2 linked regions of the Anolis sagrei genome follow. The protein of the gene in region 2 binds, or shares a complex with, the protein of the main gene of each other region. Links are inferred from orthologs where the notes say so. Each region holds a gene or a part of one and is shown on either strand. Other genes may lie near its edges.

Region 1 (9,855 bases), on a different chromosome or scaffold from region 2:
GAAGAGTAGAGACATCAGACTGGCAACAAAGATCCGCCTAGTCAAAGCCATGGTATTCCCTGTAGTCACCTACGGATGTGAGAGCTGGACCTTCGGGAAGGCTGAGCGAAGGAAGATCGATGCTTTTGAGCTGTGGTGCTGGAGGAAAGTGCTGAGAGTGCCTTGGACTGCGAGAAGATCCAACCAGTCCATCCTCCAGGAAATAAAGCCCGACTGCTCACTGGAGGGAAAGATACTGGAGACAAAGTTGAAGTACTTTGGCCACATCATGAGGAGACAGGAAAGCCTAGAGAAGACAATTATGCTGGGGAAAGTGGAAGGCAAAAGGAAGAGGGGGCGACCAAGGGCAAGATGGATGGATGGCATCCTTGAAGTGACTGGACTGACCTTGAGGGAGCTGGGGGTGGTAACGGCCGACAGGGAGCTCTGGCGTAGGCTGGTCCATGAGGTCACGAAGAGTCGGAGACGACTGAACGAATGAACAACAACAATTATACTCTATTATATTTTAAGAAATATTATAAATAATATCTAATATATTATTAGTATAACATGATATTAGTATTCTATATTATACTGTATTATATTTTAAGTAATATTATAAATAATATCTAATATATTATTAGTATAGCATGATATTAGCATTATATATTATACTATATTATACAATATATTTTTAGTACAGCATAATATTAGTATTTTATATTATACTATATTGTAAGTAGTATTATAGATAATATCTAATACATTTTTAGTATAGCATAATATTAGTATTATATATTATACTGTATTATATTTTAAGTAATATTATAAATAATATGTAATATATTATTAGTATAACATGATATTACTATTATATATTATACTGTATTATACAATATATTTTAGTACAGCATAATATTAGTATTAAATATTATACTGTATTATTTTATAAGTAGTATTATAGATAATATCTAATACATTATTACTCTATTTATCACTATTTATTATTTACAGCATTTATATTCCGTAACGTTAGTATATAATATTATATTATATACTAATGTAATATTGGTATATTATATATAATACTATTATGTTATAAAATATAATCTATTATATAATATATACAATATATTCCATAATATTAGTATAATATTCCATAATATCAGTATAGCACAATATTAGTATTATCTATTATACAGTATTATATTATTAGTACTATAAATAATATCTAATATATTATTAGTATAGCATAATATTAGTATTATACATTATACTGTATTATAAGTAATATTATAAATAATATCTAATATATTATTAGTATAACATGATATTAATATTATATATTATACCGTATTATTTTATAGGTAGTATTATAGCTAATATCTAATATATTATTAGTATTGTTGTTGTTGTTCATTCGTTCAGTCGTCTCCGACTCTTCGTGACCTCATGGACCAGTCCATGCCAGAGCTCCCTGTCGGCCGTCACCACCCGCAGCCCCTTCCAGGTCAGTCCAGTCACTTCAAGGATGCCATCCATCCATCTTGCCCTTGGTTGGCCCCTCTTCCTTTTGCCTTCCACTTTCCCCAGCATCATTCCCTTCTCTAGGCTTGGCTGTCTCCTCATGATGTGGCCAAAGGACTTCCACTTTGTCTCTCGTCTCCTTCCCTCCAGTGAGCAGCCGGGCTTTCTTTCCTGGAGGATGGACTGGTTGGATCTTCTCGCAGTCCAAGGCACTCTCAGCACTTTCCTCCATCACCACAGCTCAAAAGCATCTCTCGTCCTTCGCTCAGCCTTCCCTCAGGTCCAGCTCTCACCTCCATAGGTGACTACAGGGAAGACCATGGCTTGGACTAGGCAATGGATCTTGGTTGCCAGTCTGATGTCTCTACTCTTGACTATTTTATCGAGATTGGACATTGCTCTCCTTCCCAAGAAGGAAGCATCTCCTGATTTCCTGGCCACAGTCTGCATCTGCACTCATCTTTGCGCCTAGAATATTATTAGTATAGCATAATATTAGTATTATATATTACACTGTATTATATTATAAGTAGTGTTATAGATAATATCTAATACATTATTAGTATAGCATAATATTAGTATTATATATTTTACTGTTTTATATTATAAGTAGTATTATAAATAATATCTACTATATTATTAGTATAACATGATATTAGTATTATATATTATACTGTATTATAAGTAGTATTATAAATATCTAAGATATTATTAGTAAAACATAATTTTAATATTGTATGTTATACTGTATTATATTATAAGTAGTTTTATAGATAATATCTAATATATTATTAGTATACCATAATATTAGTATTATACATTATACTGTATTATAAGTAATATTATGAATAATATCTAATATATTATTAGTATAACATGATATTAATATTATAGATTATACTGTATTATAAGTAGTGTTATAAATATCTAAAATACTATTAGTAAAACATAATTTTAGTATTGTATATTATACTGTATTATATTATATTATAGATAATATGTAACATTAGTATAGCATAACATTAGTATTACATATTATTGCGTTATATTATTACATTGCAATATTATTAGTAATATTATATCTATTAGTATTATATCGCAATGTTATTCTTTCTATATGTTATATTATGTTGCAATATTATTACATTGCAATATTATTAGTAACATTATATCTATTCGTATTATTACATTACAATGTTATTCTTTCTATATATTATTATATTAGGTTGCAATATTATTAATATTGTATAGCATGTATAATATATTATTATATAATATTATTATTATATATTATGTATATGGATTTGAGGCTTCTCTACCAAAGAATCCCAGGATTCTATGGAACGGAGGCATTGGAAGTTAAACCGGATTCAATCTGCATCAATTCCACAGTGTAGATGCACACACCTCCTGGAGTCATATTTCCTGCAATTGGGTGTGCCTTCCCCTTTCCTTTCTCTGGGGCCTTGACACAGAAGCATTCCTTTGATCTGAATCAGACTGGCCTGGGATTTTTTCTCGGCCTCTGGAGCTGAAGATCCTTTTCATCCCAAACTGGCAAAGCAGGTTCAAAACCAGGAAGAGCTGCAAGAAATATATATATATTTGCAGAAGATCAATGGAGCAAGACCTTTCTCCGCCTTAGATAAACTATGGGGAACAGAGGCTGGGGCCCCTTCTACACTGCCATATACAATGCAGAGTATCTGCATTGAACTGGAGTATTCGGCAGTGTAGACTAGACATGGGCCAATTTATGCCCTCCAGGAGTTTTGGACTTCAACTCTCCATTCCTATTGTAGAACTACAACTCCCAGGATTCAATACTATTGAGCCCTGGGAGTTGAAATAATATATAATTACTAGCTGTCCCCTGCCACGTGTTGCTGTGGCCCAGTCTGTGTATATGTGTTTGTATGTGTATTTATTTGTGTATATGTGTATATATGTGGTTTTGTGCATGCATTGTAATGTATTTCTTACTTTTTGGTTTTTTAAGTCCCTTCTATTGTGTTTTTCAGTGTTTTTATGAGTGATGGTCACTCGTTGGCCTGAGAGGTGTCATGTGTCCAAATTTGGTGTCAAATCATCCAGTGGTTTTTGAGTTACATTAATCCCACAAACAATCATTACATTTTTATTTATATAGATGCCCCCCCCTCTATATATAGAGAGAGGGGGGGGGGCATCTATATAAATATACACACTTTATTTATGTATTTATTTACAGCTTTTATATTCCGCCCTCCTCACCCCGCAGGGGACTCAGGGTGGATTACAGTGTACACATATATGGCAAACATTCAATGCCAATTTTTGACATACAAACATATACAGACATACACAGAGGCTATTTAACTTTTTCTGGCCGCCAGGGAGCTGTCGCTTTCCTCGTCCATCTGCGACGCTGATGAAGCACTTCCGCATTCCCCGCATGTTTCCCCGCTGGAATGCTTTGCTGGAGTCTTCTTTATGGCCTCATAAATCAGTTAATTTAGCCTCCCCACACTTTTAAGGTGGTACCTTATTTTCCTACTTGACAGATGCAACTGTCTTTCGGGTTGCAAAGGTCGACAACAGGCTACACACAATTTGTTGGAAACCCACTCCAACCCGGGCTGGCTTCGAACTCATGACCTTTTGGTCAGAGTGATCTTAATGCAGCTGACACTCAGCCAGCTGCGCCACAATAAAAAAAAAGTTAAATAGCCTCTGTATATGTTCGTATGTCAAAAATTGTCATTGAATGTTTGCCCTATATGTGTACCCTGTAATCCGCCCTGAGTCCCCTGCGGGGTGAGAAGGGCGGAATATAAAAGCTGTAAATAAATTAAATAAATAGTTTTCTCAAGTTTGCTCCAAAGTCTATCTATTTATCTATCTATCTATCTATATTGTGTATGTGTGTGTGTGTATTATATATGTGTGTGTGTGTGTGTATGTGCGTATATTATCTATATAAATGTGTGGGAGTTGAAGTCCAAAACTCCTGGAGAGCCCCAGTTTGTCCATTCCTGTTGTAGAACTACAGCTCCCAGGATTCAATACTATTGAGCCCTGTGATTTGAAATAATATATAATTACTAGCTGTCCCTTGCCACGTGTTGCTGTGGCCCAGTCTGTGTATATGTGTTTTCTGTGTGTATACACATTTTACATATATTATATGTGTGTATGTGTGTATACACATATGCATTTTATTGTTTGCACGGCTCTCCTAACAGCATGAAGCCAAAACATAAAATGCATACAATCCAATGCATAGATCGAACACACGACATCAGAAACAGGGTACGAATATCAATGTATAGAGTTGCAATGCAATGCAGATTCAAAACTCATGATGGGTATCATTGGTACCAAAAACAAAACAAAACCGGCATCAAACTGCATTAATTCTGCAGTGGAGACAGGCTTTGGATTCTGAGGCCTGTTTCCTTTAACTTCAATAGAGATAGGGATCTATTCAAATGTGCATTCTTTGTCCTCTTCCTTTCTCTCTCTCTGCTGAATCATAGCTGGCATCCCCCCCCCCCCCCAGTATTCATTTATGCAAATGATGCAGAGCGTAAATAAGGGAAGGAATTGAGAATTGGAAGAACAAACGGTGCATCTATCAACAGGGTTGAGGAACTGCCAGGGCTCAATGCGAGGGCATCTCTGGAAGTTGCACTTTGCAATCGTTGGCGGAGAAGGTGAACAGCCTTGTCAAACTACAACTCTCAGGGAATGCCGTGACAGTCAAACTACAACTCCCAGGGGTGCCATAAATGTCAAACTATAACTTCGAGGGATACCATAACAAACTAAAACTCCCAGATAAACCATAACACTGAAACAACAACTCCTGGAATGCCGTAACACTCAAACTACAACTCCCGGGATGCCATAAGAATCGAACTACAACTCCCAGGGATGCCATAACAAGCTACAACTCTCAAGGATAACATAACACTAAAACTACAACTCCCGGGATGCCATAACAGTCTAACTACATCTCTCGGGGACACCATAATAGTCAAGGACAACTCCCATGATGCCACAAATGCCAAACCATAACACTTAGGATACCTTAACAGTCAAACGATAACTTTTGGGATGCCATAATAATCACACTACAACTCAGGGATGTCATAAATGCCAAACTACAACTCTTAGGGATGCCATAACAGTCAAACTACATCTCCCAGGGATATCATAAATGCCAAACTACAACTCCTAGGGATGCCATAACAAGCAACAACGCCCAGGGATGCCGTAACAGTCAAACTACAAATCCCAGAAAGTCAAACTCCAACTCCCAGGGATGCCCTAACAGCCAAACTACAAATCCCAGAAAGTCAAACTACAACTCCCAGGGATGCCCTAACAGCCAAACTACAAATCCCAGAAAGCCAACCTCCAACTCCCAGGGATGCCCTAACAGTCAAACTGCAAATCCCAGAAAGTCAAACTACAACTCCCAGGGATGCCCTAAGAGTCAAAGGAATGATAACCGGCGGGCGCTAGGACCGCGCGGGAGCCTGGGGAAGGCTTCCCCTCTGCATTGCCTGCCTGCCTTCCTCTCGGGCGTGGTGGATCCCGCAGCAGTCGATTCCTCGGAAAGGAAGCCAGCCTGCCTGCCCGGAAAGGAAGAAGCAGCAACCAAGAGCCGCTCGGAATCGGGTAAGCGGGGGAAAGGGAAAGATCCCACACCCTTAACCACATTTTCCCTCTCCTCCAGTTGGGATCCATAGATCTCCTAAGGGATCCCCTCCCATGAGAGTAGAAGGAAGGAATCCACTTCCTCTGCTGGGCCCAATTCGAGTCTCCCTTCCCTTATTTTTTTTAAGAGATCATGGGATCTTATTCCTTCCCTTTTATGATTATTTTCATATATATTTTAAAATATAGGGATCCCATTGGGATCCTTTTTTCCCATCCACTTTGGGGCCTCTTGGTGGGATCTTTATTCTCTCCGCCCCCCCTCCCCACACGTTGCTACTTTCCGCTATAAAACTCCGTGCCAAGTTCCTAAGAGATCTTTTCCTCCCTTTTCGCTCAAGATCTAGTGGATCCCACTGGATCCCTTATTCTCTTCCCCCCTCCCCGTTGCTACTTTCCGCTATAAAACTCCATGCCAAGTTCCTAAGAGATCTTTTCCTCCCCTTTCGCTCAAGATCTAGTGGATCCCACTGGATCCCTTATTCTCTTCCCCCCTCCCCGTTGCTACTTTCCACCATAAAACTCCGTGCCAAGTTTCTAAGAGATCTTTTCCTCCCTTTTCACTCAAGATATAGTGGATCCACTGGATCCCTTATTCTCTTCCCCCCTCCCCGTTGCTACTTTCCGCTATAAAACTCCGTGCCAAGTTCCTAAGAGATCTTTTCCTCCCTTTTCGCTCAAGGTCTAGTGGATCCACTGGATCCCCACACGGGGGGGGGGGGTGGTGTCTACTGGATCAAACTTTCAAGAGAGATCTCTGTTCCCCCTCTACTGGTGCCTCCCTTTCACTCCAACTCTTCTGTACCCATATGGGATCAACTGGATCTCCGTGGGTCAACTGGATCCAGTTCCTTTTTTCTAATGGCCAACTGTGTATACCACCCTGAGTCGCCTTCGGGCTGAAATGGGCGGGATAGAAATAATGTAAATAAATAAATAATGAAGCCGGATCTACTGAACCAAGTTTCAAAGAGATCCTCGTACCCCTCTGCTGGTTCCTCCTATTTCGCTCCAGACCTACTGGATCTATATGATCCACAGGATTTCTATTGGGGGGGGGGGTCCACAGCATCCAGTTCTTCTTTTCAATGAAACCCACAGATCAAGTTTCAAAGAGATGTTGCCCCCTTTTGCTCCAGATCCACAGGATCTCAGCAAGATCCACATGATCTTCATGGGATCCACTTCATCTCCATAGGTCAGCTGGATCGAATTCTTTTTTCAATGAAGCCAGAGCTACTGGATCAAGTTTCAAAGATATATTTGCCCCCCTCTACTGGCGCCTCCTTTTTTTTGCCACAGACCTACTTGATCCATATGGGATCTTCTGGATCTCCACGTGGTCCATTGGATCCATTTTAATGAAAACCATGGATCTACTGGAGCAAGTTTCAAAGAGATGTTTTCCCTTCCTTTGCTCCAGCTCCACTGGATCTCCCTGTGATCCACTGGATCTCCACAGGATCAACTGTATACCGTTCTTCTTCTAAGGGATTGCCCTCATGTATTTTTTCCACTGCTTCCGCTCCTCCCTTCCCTTCTGCTTCCTCTTCCTGGATCTTTTTTGATATAACACGCCCATTGAGAGAGATCTTAAAGGGGGCATCTACACTGTAGAGCTAATGCGGTTTTGGCACCGCTTGGGCTGCCATGATTCAAGGCTATGGAATCCAGGGAGTTGTCATTTTGGAATTATTATTGATAGAATTATAATTGTGATCAATAGAATCATTACTAGAATTATTATTATTATTAGCATTATTATTACTCTATTAATAGAATATTATTAGAATTATTATTAATTAATAGAGTTATTACTACCTATACCCAGCTTTCTCTCTCCATTTCGCTGCCTCACCAAACTACAACTCCCAAGATGACATAGCATTACTACATTATGACTTTGGATCACCATAAGCAGGATCTACACATTGCAGAATCGATGCAGATTCATATCCCTTGAATGACCATGAATCAATGCTATGGATCCCTGGGATTTGCAATTTGCACCGTTCTGCAGAAAGGCTCCAGAGGCCTTGCAAAACGACAACTCCCAGGAATCCAGAGCAGTGAGTCAGGGCAGCTCGAGTGGTATCAAACTGCAGTGAGTCCCCCTGGTGAGATAGGACGGAATATAAATAAAGTTTTATTATTGTTGTTGTTGTTGTCCAGTGTGGATGGCTCCTTGGCAGAAAATCCTACAGAGAAAAAACTGCAGATCCCAGTTTTTTCTGCAAAGTTGCCATATAATTTTGGAACGAGGAACTAGCCAAACAGAGAGGAATCTGTTGCCAATAAAAAGCAATTAGGGAATTGCAAGCATCTTACTTCCAAATGCCAAAACCCCCTTTGGGGTAGAATAAAGGGTGCATTTACACTGGTTTCTAATTACGCTTGTTTTTTTCCCAATCGCTAATTAATGCCAGCTTATTATTATTATTATTATTATTATCCCCTTTCCCCCCCTCCCAACCGACTAAACCACCTGTTCCTATTCATTCCTAGTTTTCTGCTTCGATGAACATGTTCCAAAGTAAAGCTCAATGCAAACTGTGTGCAAACAGTTGTGTTTTCTTTGTGTGTGGGAGAGACATTCATTGTAATTACACTGAACGATTTCCTTGTCTTGCAACACTTGTGCTTTGAACACGAGACTCTGAAATTTCACTTATGAGATCCATTTTTATTATTAATAATATTATACTATATATTATTATTATACTGACACCACAGTATGTCACAGTAATATTATTATTATTATTATTATTTATATTACACTATATATTATTATTTATTAGTAGCTTGGGCACAAAATGTATAAGGTTATTATTATTATTATTATTATTATTACACTGACACCACAGTATGTCACAGTAAATGAGATCTATATGCTGGATTTTGTATATTATTATTATTATTATTATTATTTATATTATTATTATTATTAATATTATTATACTATATATTATTATTATTCTGACACCACAATATGTCACATTAAATGAGATCTATATGCTGGATTTTGTATATTATTATTATTATTATTATTATTTATATTATTATTATTATTAATATTATTATACTATATATTATTATTATACTGACACCACAGTATGTCACAATAAACTAGATCTATATGCTGGATTTTGTATATTATTATTATTATTTATATTATTATTATTAATATTATTATACTATATATTATTATTATACTGACACCACAGTATGTCACAATAAACTAGATCTATATGCTGGATTTTGTATATTATTATTATTATTTATATTATTATTATTATTAATATTATTATACTATATATTATTATTATACTGACACCACAGTATGTCACAATAAACTAGATCTATATGCTGGATTTTGTATATTATTATTATTATTTATATTATTATTATTAATATTATTATACTATATATTATTATTATACTGACACCACAGTATGTCACAGTAAATGAGATCTATATGCTGGATTTTTTATATTATTTTTATTATTATTATTATTATTGTTATACTATGTATTATCATTTATATTATTATTAATATTATTATTCATATATTATTATTTATTAGTAGCTTGGGTACAAAATGCATAATGTTATTATTATTATTATTATTTTACTAACACCACA
Region 2 (9,325 bases):
GAAACAGCATGGTGGAATGGTGCTGGTGTTGGACTAGAACACTGGGACATGAATGTTCGAATGCTCACTTGGCTCTAGAAAACCACTGGGTGACCTTGGTCAAGTGACACACTCTCAGACTCAGAAGAAGGCAAAGGCAAACCTTCTCTGAACAAATCTTGCCAAGAAAACCATGTGATAGATAGACCATAAGCCGCGTTGAGTCCCCACCCATGGGAGAAAAGTGGGATAAAAATGAATAAATAATAATAATAAGTAGGAAATGACTTAAAGGAATGCAACAACAAACCCAGCAATATGCAAAAACTCTGGCACAAGCCTGTAAAAGTGGTCCCAGTGGTGATCGGCACACTGGGTGCAGTGCCTAAAGACCTTGGCCTGCACTTAAAAACAATCAGCGCTAACAAAATTACAATCTGTCAGCTGCAAAAGGCCACCCTTCTTGGATCTGCACGCATTATTTGCCATCCTACTACTTCATCAAGCTAGAGAATGAATCCACTTTAAATCCGGTTTCGGCCTCCTGCAGAATTTTGGGGTTTGTAGTTTAGTGCGGCTGTTAAAGGCTCCTCCCTAGACACTGGAGAAGTGTCCAATGTGTGATCGAATATAAAAGCCAGCATAGCGATCTTGTTTGCTGTGTACTAATCTTGTGTATCAAATTATAATAAATTGGAAATGACCAAGGAATACAACAGCAAGCCCAGCAATGTGTAGAAGACCTCACTGTGATCTGGATATACATATAGTAATCATCACCTATAGTCCTTAAAAGGAAGGTGGGAACTACCATGTTCTTTTTTCCCATTTCATTACGTTCATCTACAGATCCACTTACCAGTGGCCAGACTAGATAGATCGAATGAGAGTTTAAGAAAAACACAAACAAATATAGGACATTTGTAGCTGTCCAGTTGTTGGGCTGTTTGTTTTTTGGACACTGAGTCCCATCAGATCTATTCTAGCCTCATCTTCCAGATACTTGGTGGCACACCCACACTGACCACTTAGGCCACTGTGAAACCAGCCGAGAAGGAAGTGGTTCCAATTTCCAGATGACGACATATGAAGTCCAGCTTTTAAGCCTGGATGGTGCTTATACACATATGCAATGCAGAGGCTGACCTCGAACCAGTTAAAGATCCACAAGATCTATGACTTCACAACTGCGGAGGGCTCTGCCAATCTGTGCTGACTGACAGAGCCCTCAATCGGTTTCGCCATGCAATGCGATGTACACTCAGGCATGCTGAAGTGTGTTAAGGGCTCTATTTCGGAGTATGCTCTGACTTTCCTTATCTCAGGGTGCATCTACGTATGTGCAATCTTGTACATTGTAGATTGAATGCGGTTTGACACATCTTTAACAGCCATAGCTCAGTCTGGGCAATTATAGTTTTCTTGGTTCAAGAATGCTAGCGCCTCCCTAAGTGACCACTCCACAGCATTGAATAACAGCAGTTCAAGTGGAGCCAAACGGCATTCATTGTACAAATCTAGCATGGGCAAACTTGGGCCCTCCAGGTGTTTTGGACTTCAACTCCCACAATTCCTAACAGCCACTTGGCTGTTAGGAATTGTGGGAGTTGAAGTCCAAAACACCTGGAGGGCCCAAGTTTGCCCATGCCTGATATAGATGCATCCTTGATTTAAAGCCCTTGAAGTGAGCTGCAAGGCATGCACCATAAACACTGTACTATCCAGCTGCCTTCAAACTGCATTAAACGGTCATCATAGATGTGGACATCAAGGAGCCGCTGTGGTGCAATGGGTCAAACTGCTGACCTGAAGGTTGGTGGTTTGAATCCACGAGATGGAGTGAGCTTCAATCTGTCAGCCCCAGCTTCCCATCTGGGGACATGAGAGAAGTCTCCCACAGGATGGTAACACATCCGGCTGTCCCCTGGGCAACGTCCATGCAGACAGTCAATTCTCTCACACCAGAAGTGACTTGAAGTATATTCTCTATTTGCTTCTGACACAATAATTAAAAAAATAAATGTGGACTCCCAGAAGCTCCAGCCCAGTTGGAAGATTATCAGGAATTTGGGAGTCCAAGGCACCAGGAGGACAAAACTTTGGAATCTGCGAATTTTTATCCAGGCAGTGGATTTGGTTCAGAGGACATTCAAAATATCTGGAGGGGCCTGAAGTCTGTCACCTCATCCTTTCCACATTCAATCTGGCATGGATAGACATGACACAGGGCCCCATTCCCACATCTTTAGGTGCAGGATTGTAGGAGATGAGAGATTCCACAATGCAGAGCCCTGTACATCCCCAAACCCACCTATAACATGCATTTACCACCTATAACAGCATTTATCAAGCTGGGGGGTTGGGACCCCTGGGGGGTTGTGAAGGGGTATCAAAGGGGACCATAGGAAAACAGTAGTTTCTGTTGGTCATGGGAGTTCTGTGTGGGAAGTTTGGCCCAATTCTATCATTGGTGGGGTTCAAGAGGCTCTTTGATTGTAGGTGAACTATAAATCCCAGCAACTACAACTCCCAAATGTCCAGGTCTGTTTTCCCCAAACTGCACCAGTGTTCACATTTGTGCATATTGAGTATTTTTGCTATGTTTGGTCCAGAGCCATCATTGCTTGAGTCCACAGTGCTCTCTGCATGTAGATAAACTACAACTTCAATAGGTGCCCACCAAACCCTTCCAGTATTTTTTGTCAGTCATGGGAGTTCTGTGTGCCAAGTTTGGTTCAATGTCATCATTGGTGGAGTTCAAAATGCTCTTTGATTGTAGGTGAATTATAAATCCCAGCAACTATAACTCCCAAATGACAAAACCAATCCCTTTCCAACCACACCGGTATTCAAATTTGGGCGTATCGGGTATTTATGCCAAATTTTGTTCAGTGAATATCCTGCATATCAGATATTTACATTACGATTCATAACAGTAGCAAAATTACAGTTATGAAGTAGCAATGAAAATAATTTTATGGTTGGGAGTCGCCACAACATGAGGAACTGTATTAAGAGTTCAGGGCATTAGGAAGGTTGAGAACCACTGACCTATAACATGCATTTAGGGATGCATTTATTACACTGTAAAACAGGCGTGGGCAAACTTCGGCCCTCTGGGTGTTTTGGACTTCAACTCCCACAATTCCTAACAGCTGATACGCTGTTGGAATTGTGGGAGTTGAAGTCCAAAACACCCGGAGGGCCGAAGTTTGCCCATGCCTGCTGTAGAATCAGTTTGACACTACTTGAATTGCCAGGACTCAATGTTATGCAATGTCAATATTCAGTAACAGCTTTATTTATTTATTTAATGACTATATGGTTTGACAATCTTGCTTATATTGTTTTTAATTCAATTTATGGTTTTTAAATTATTGTTATAATTCTTTATATTGTTTGTTTGTTGCGGCATTGAATCGTTGCCGGTGTAAGCCGCCCTGAGTTGAGAAAAGACTGGATAGAAATACTGGAAATGAATAATAATAATAATAATAATAATAATAATAATAATGTATTGCTTTAGATTTACAATCCCAATGTATTGTATGGATAGGAAATAATTAGGCATTAAGACATTTAACTTTCAGGAAAACGTTTTCAAAAAGTTACCTAACTTTGGGGACTTTTGGCCCACCCTGCAGTTTAGGGAGGAAGAAGGGAAAAGAGGAAGACAACTGCCACGATCCTACAGCACTGAGCCAGGGCAGCTCAAGTGGTATCGAAGCGCATTAACTGAGCAGTGCAGGCGCACTCAAGTTCTCTGCCTTGGAGCGCTGCCCGTCCCAGCCCAGCCCAGCGAGTGGGCAGATCTCTGCCTCTGACACAGGCACAAAAGCCTTCAAATCCCCGCAAGAGGAGCCGCGGAGAGCCCCGTCCCTCCCCGCTCGCACTCACCGTCTTGCCAGCCTTGGCGGCGTGTTTCTTTCCCTTCGTGGGCTGCGACATGGTGGCTGCGTGTGCTCCTTCTTCTGGGCCTGCTTAGGGTGCCAAAGGGAGAGGCGGAGGAGGAGGAGGAGGAGGGCAGCGGCGGTGAGGCAGCTTTTCCGACGGAGCCCCCCGTCGCTCCCCTCCAGTGCCCAGGCCAGCTGCGGAGCCACCCAAGTCCCTCCTCTTCCTGCAGAGAGAAACTCCCACCCAGCCCCGCATTCCTGGGGCCCGCCGGGTTTCGTGGGCCGGAGGGAGGAGTGGAAGGGCCAGGAGGACACCCCCAAAGGCGGGCTGGGCACCAGGCTCCTTGTTTGCCAAGACACGCTTGAGACTTAGGCAAACTCCCGGAGCCCTTTTAGGGGAGGTTCCGTTGCCTCTTGTTTGGAGAGAGCTTAAAAGCCCATCTATCACTCAAAACTTTGGGACAGAGCCGAACCGCCTCGCCCTTCGGATTGCTCCTTTGGCCAGCCCGGGCTTTCGGCCTGCTCTCTCTTATCAGGCACAACAAGGTTTCCTCATCATTAGAGCCAGTAATCGTAGATAAAGAGTCTGAACACACAGTCTGAAGCATCAACCTACAAGTCCAAAGCACACAAGTTATTTTTGCTCTATGGCTGTTGTTGTGTGGCTTCCCATAGCCAAGCACTAACTCAGGGTGCAGCTACACCAGGCATGGACAAACTTCGGCTCTCCAGGTGTTTTGGACTTCAACTCCCACCATTCCTATCAGCCGTCTCAGGACCAGGCATGTAGCCGGGCCGGGGGGGGGGGGGGGGCTTGAGGGGCTTCAGCCCCCCCCCCCCCTCCGAAATGCTCATGGTGGTTCGCGAAAAGGCCTTACTGGTGCATTATTTAAACTGTTATGTTTATTCATATAATGATCTGATCACCATGCTCAATATATCCCACATGCATGGGGGGGGGGGGGTATTGGGGTAATGATACAAAAGGTTTGCTAGAATAGACCCTCTTTCAGTCAGACTCAGCCCCCCCGAACCCCTCCCCCTTGAAAAAAACTCAGCCCCCCCCCCCCCCCCCAATCGAAATCCTGGCTACAGGCCTGCTCAGGACCCTTCCTTTTTCCCCTTCAGGCAAAGAAGCAGGTAGTGAAAACAGAAGAATGGCCTGCCTTGAAAGCGTGCTTGTTCCATCAGTGTTTAACATTTACACAAATGATCAGCCACTGCCAGATGGAACAGAGTTTAATCTATGCTGATGATTGTGCCATCACCACCCAAGAAAGGAGCTTTGTAATGGTTGAACAGAAGCTCTCCGAAGCTTTAGGTGCTCTTACTGCCTATTACTGTTGGAGTTCAGCCTGTGATTGTGTCTAATGATCAGGGTAGTCTGGATGTTGGGAATGACAATGAGGTTCTAATGATGAGGTTGCTATTGATGCAGAGAATGACAATGGGATTCCTGTTCAAAGTTAACGATGGCACAAATGTGTAAAAATGGATGGTGACTATGTTGAACGGTCGTTTTGTGTAGAGGACAGTTCAGGCTATGGTCTGTAGCAACCTCTGCTATTATATGTTCATTCATAATGTTTTTATGTCATGGGAGGCAAAACGTTTTGACCCACCCGCGTACTATAAAAGTTAATGCCGGCATTTTGAATTGATTTCCAACACAGACAGGCAACCTGTGCATCTTTTTGAAGACTCTCACAGTGAAAGAACATCTAGAAAAAATATTCCCAAGGCAGTTTACAATAAATATTTTAATGCATTCTGTTATAATTATAAAACAATAACTTAAGCCATAAAAACAATAATTTCCCAATTATTTAATGAGAGCCTAGAGGAATAATAGCAGAAGAGTATTTCCTTCCTGTTGAGAGAGAGAGAGAGCAAGAAAAAAATAAGAGCAAGCAAGACTGCCGTATATATTTAAGTATAAGCTGGATATTTCAGCTCTTTTTTTAGGCTGAAAAAGCCCCCCTCGGCTTATACTCGAGTAAATGTTATTTATGATTTTACTCTGTTGTTGTTATTTTACTCTTTATTATTATTATTATTATTATATTGAATTTCTTATTTTATTCTATTATTATTATTACATTTATTATTTTACTGTATTTTACTGTTTTTATTACATTTCCATTATTTTACTGTATTACTGTTATTTTTATTACATTTATTATTTATATTATTATTATTGGAAGGATACATAAGCACATTTACATTTAAGAAGAAGAATGGTTTAATCAGAGCTGGACAGTCTTATCTTAAATTACAGTTTTATGTAAATATTCAAAAACATTTAACCTGCTGATGCCTCAATTAATGTAATTTTATTGGTCTCTATTTTTATTTTGAAATTTACCAGTAGCTGCTGCATTTCCCAGACTCAGCTTATAACCGAGTCAATACGTTTCCCCAATTTTCTTTGGTAAAACTAGGTGTCTCGGCTTATATTTGAATCGACTTATACTCGAGTATATATGGTATATCGATCTCTTGAAGAATTATACCCGATACCTGTAATAATAACAACCAAAACAACACAGAACAACAAATCATAATACAAAAACAAAAGGATTTGGGCCATTAACTGGAAAAGATTTTCACAAATTTGCCTACAAATGTAACTGTTGAATTTGAATTAGAGACTTGAAACCTGTAGCTCATGCTCTTAAGTACTGCACTGATTAACTGGTATACAGTGAAGAAATGTAGAGAAGGCAATAGAAGAAAAGGTGTGCCTTACTTGAAACAGATGACTTGTATTTTTGTGTGTATTTCAATTTTAAGCAATGCCTGAATCTCACCAATCAACTGGTCTAACTAGACTATACTGCATTCCTAAGGGTTCAATGCACAGGATACTAGTCCTTACTATAAAGGCTGCAAAAATGTGGAAAGGAAGGCTTCATTCTCCTCAATAAGAATAATGAAATAAAATGGAGAAAAGCTTTCAGGATTCCCTGGACAGTCTTATCTTAAATGACAGAGCAGTGGTTCTCAACCTTCCTAATGCTGTGACCTCTTAATACAGTTCCTCATGTTGTGGTGACCCCCAACCATAAAATTATTTTCATTGCTACTTCATAACTGTAATTTTGCTACTATTATGAAATGTAATGTAAATATCTGATATGCAGGATGTATTTTCATTCACTGGACCAAATTTGGCACAAATACCCAATACATTCAAATTTGGATATTGATGGGGTTGGCAGGGATTGATTTTGTCATTTGGGAGTTATAGTTGCTGGGATTTATAGTTAACCTACAATAAAAGAGCATTCTGAACACTACCAATGATGGAATTGAACCAAACTTGGCATACGGAGTTCTCACTGCCAACAGAAAATACTGGTAGGGTTTGGTGGATATTGACCTTGAATTTTGGAGTTGTAGTTCACCTGAATCCAGAGAGCAGTGTGGATGCAAACAATGATGGGTCTGGTCCAAACTTGGCACAAATACTCAATATGTCCAAATGTGAACACTGGTGGAGTTTGGAGAAAATAGACCTTGACATTTGGGAGTTGTAGTTGCTGGGATTTATAGTTCACCTACAATCAAAGAGCATTCTGCACCCCACCAACAATAGAATTGGGCCAAAATTCCCACATAGAACTCCCATAACCAACAGAAAATACTGTGTTTTCTGATGGTCTTTAGCGATCCCTCTGACACCCCCTCGCAATCCCCCCAGGGGTCCCGAGCCCCAGGTTGAGAAACGCTGCCTTAGAGCCACTGGTTTCTAGACCAGAAAAGTAGTCTTTTTGCTCTCAAGCAAGTATGCCAAATGTCCATTCTCAATGAAGATTTATTTATTTATTTACTTACTTACTTACTTATTTATTTATTTACCTTACTTATATACCGCTGTTCTCAGGCCGAAGGCGACTCACAGCGGTTCACAACAAATATGAACAAATATACACTTGTATACCGCTCTTCTCAGCCCTCAGGCGACTCAGAGCGGTTAACAACCAATTCAACAGTACAAAACAGATCATTAGTCAATTAAAACAGCAATATCAATTAATTAACATCAAAACATCAATACAACAATAAACACTAGATTTCTTCTAGTGCAGTAGTTCCCAGCCTTTGGTCCTTCACTTGTTTTGGACTTCAACTCTCAGATATCCCAGCCAGCTTACCAGCTGTTAGGAACTGTGGAAGCTGAAGTCCAAAAAACCTTGAGGACCAAAGGTTGGGAATCATTATTCTAGTGGAAACTATATTTTTTATCTCCAGTAACTGAAAAAATGTTTGAAATTAAATATGTTTCAGAAGGTTGGCCATTTGTGTTTGGTCCAACAAAACAAGAAGCCCCTTGTATACCTTTAAGAATAATACTATAATTCCATATCCTCCAGTTTTTCATAGATGAAAACTAAGACATATGTGGCCGAGAAACATCACAGTGTGTTTATGATGACAAAGGTTGCAGCGGTTTGCTTTTGCCTGAATCCACTGGGAAGGGCAAGATTCTTCCCCTTCCTTCTCTTTTCCCTGTAAATTGACTGAATGTGAACTACTTTTGGATTTGAAACTCAGTTTTTAGCAATCAAAGTAAGCTGAAGATAAAGGAGGAGAGCAGAATGAGATAAAAAAATCTAGGATGTTTTAGAAGCAGCTGAAAAGGGGAGACAGATAATTGGGATTGTCCATGCTAGATTAGGACAGTTGGAGAATCTATCCAATTCCCTGTGACATACATATGTAAAAGTAAGCCTTGTTGCCACATTTAAGTGCCATGAGTATATAGAACCACTGTGTTATTTTAATATAAACCTTTGTGGACTAGAGACAGATGCACACAAACACAAGTAGAGGAAGGGAGGATAAAATGAGGACAAATGGCAGTAAAATTCAAATCCTAATTATTTAAGATTATAATAAAAATGAGGTGAGGCAAACTGGATGCTTACATTTAAGTACAGACTTAAGTCTGGTGTTTATTTGAGGATGAAATTCTTAGTTGTCTAAATGTCAGAACTGTTCTTTCACTTCAGACAAAACCAACTCAGGAATAGCTATAGAAGCCAGGTCAAGATAATCCAAGGATTTAAAACCAGGTGGTCCCCATGGGAAGCACATGTCCAGGCAGGGACAATTCCAAATGCAAGGTCACCCAGCAGGAAATGCAAGGGCATCCTGTGTAGATGAAATGTACATTCTCAGCTGAAATGCAGGTATTATTCTAGTAACCACTCCCAGCACAGGCCTGTGGTTTAATACAACCTGAGTTCCCAAACTCCCAACAAGAGCAATGCTGCAGGCGACTGCAAGCTATCAGGCATAAGTAGCACATGAGGAATGGTGCCAGATCTCCTGGGATGAATTCCATCTTGCATGCCATCAATCAATAGTACTATATTAAGACGGTCATCTTGTGGTGCATCTACACTGTTGAATTAATGCAGTTAGGCACCACTTTAACTATGAAATTA

Evidence for each region.
Region 1: the proteins of CAST (region 2) and calpain small subunit 1 are in contact, whole or in part, in a crystal structure (PDB 3BOW), measured with the Rattus norvegicus proteins. The link is inferred for Anolis sagrei from reciprocal best matches to the Homo sapiens genes CAST and CAPNS1. Residues at the interface, in NP_445747.2 of Rattus norvegicus: Pro652, Ile653, Asp654, Ala655, Leu656, Ser657, Asp659, Leu660, Asp661; in NP_058814.1 of Rattus norvegicus: Phe103, Leu106, Gln109, Leu110, Ile125, Lys128, Val129, Arg132, His133, Leu136, Phe166, Trp170, Lys174, Gln177, Lys181.

The regions. Positions count from the first base shown.
Region 1 is NC_090035.1:78,029,165-78,039,019, forward strand, and holds the start of calpain small subunit 1, read left to right. Parts: upstream 1-6,046; 5' UTR 6,047-6,174; intron 6,175-9,855. UniProt on the Homo sapiens protein: Regulatory subunit of the calcium-regulated non-lysosomal thiol-protease which catalyzes limited proteolysis of substrates involved in cytoskeletal remodeling and signal transduction. Essential for embryonic development.
Region 2 is NC_090022.1:252,935,105-252,944,429, forward strand, and holds the start of CAST (calpastatin), read right to left. Parts: upstream 4,212-9,325; 5' UTR 3,928-4,211; coding exon 3,877-3,927; intron 1-3,876.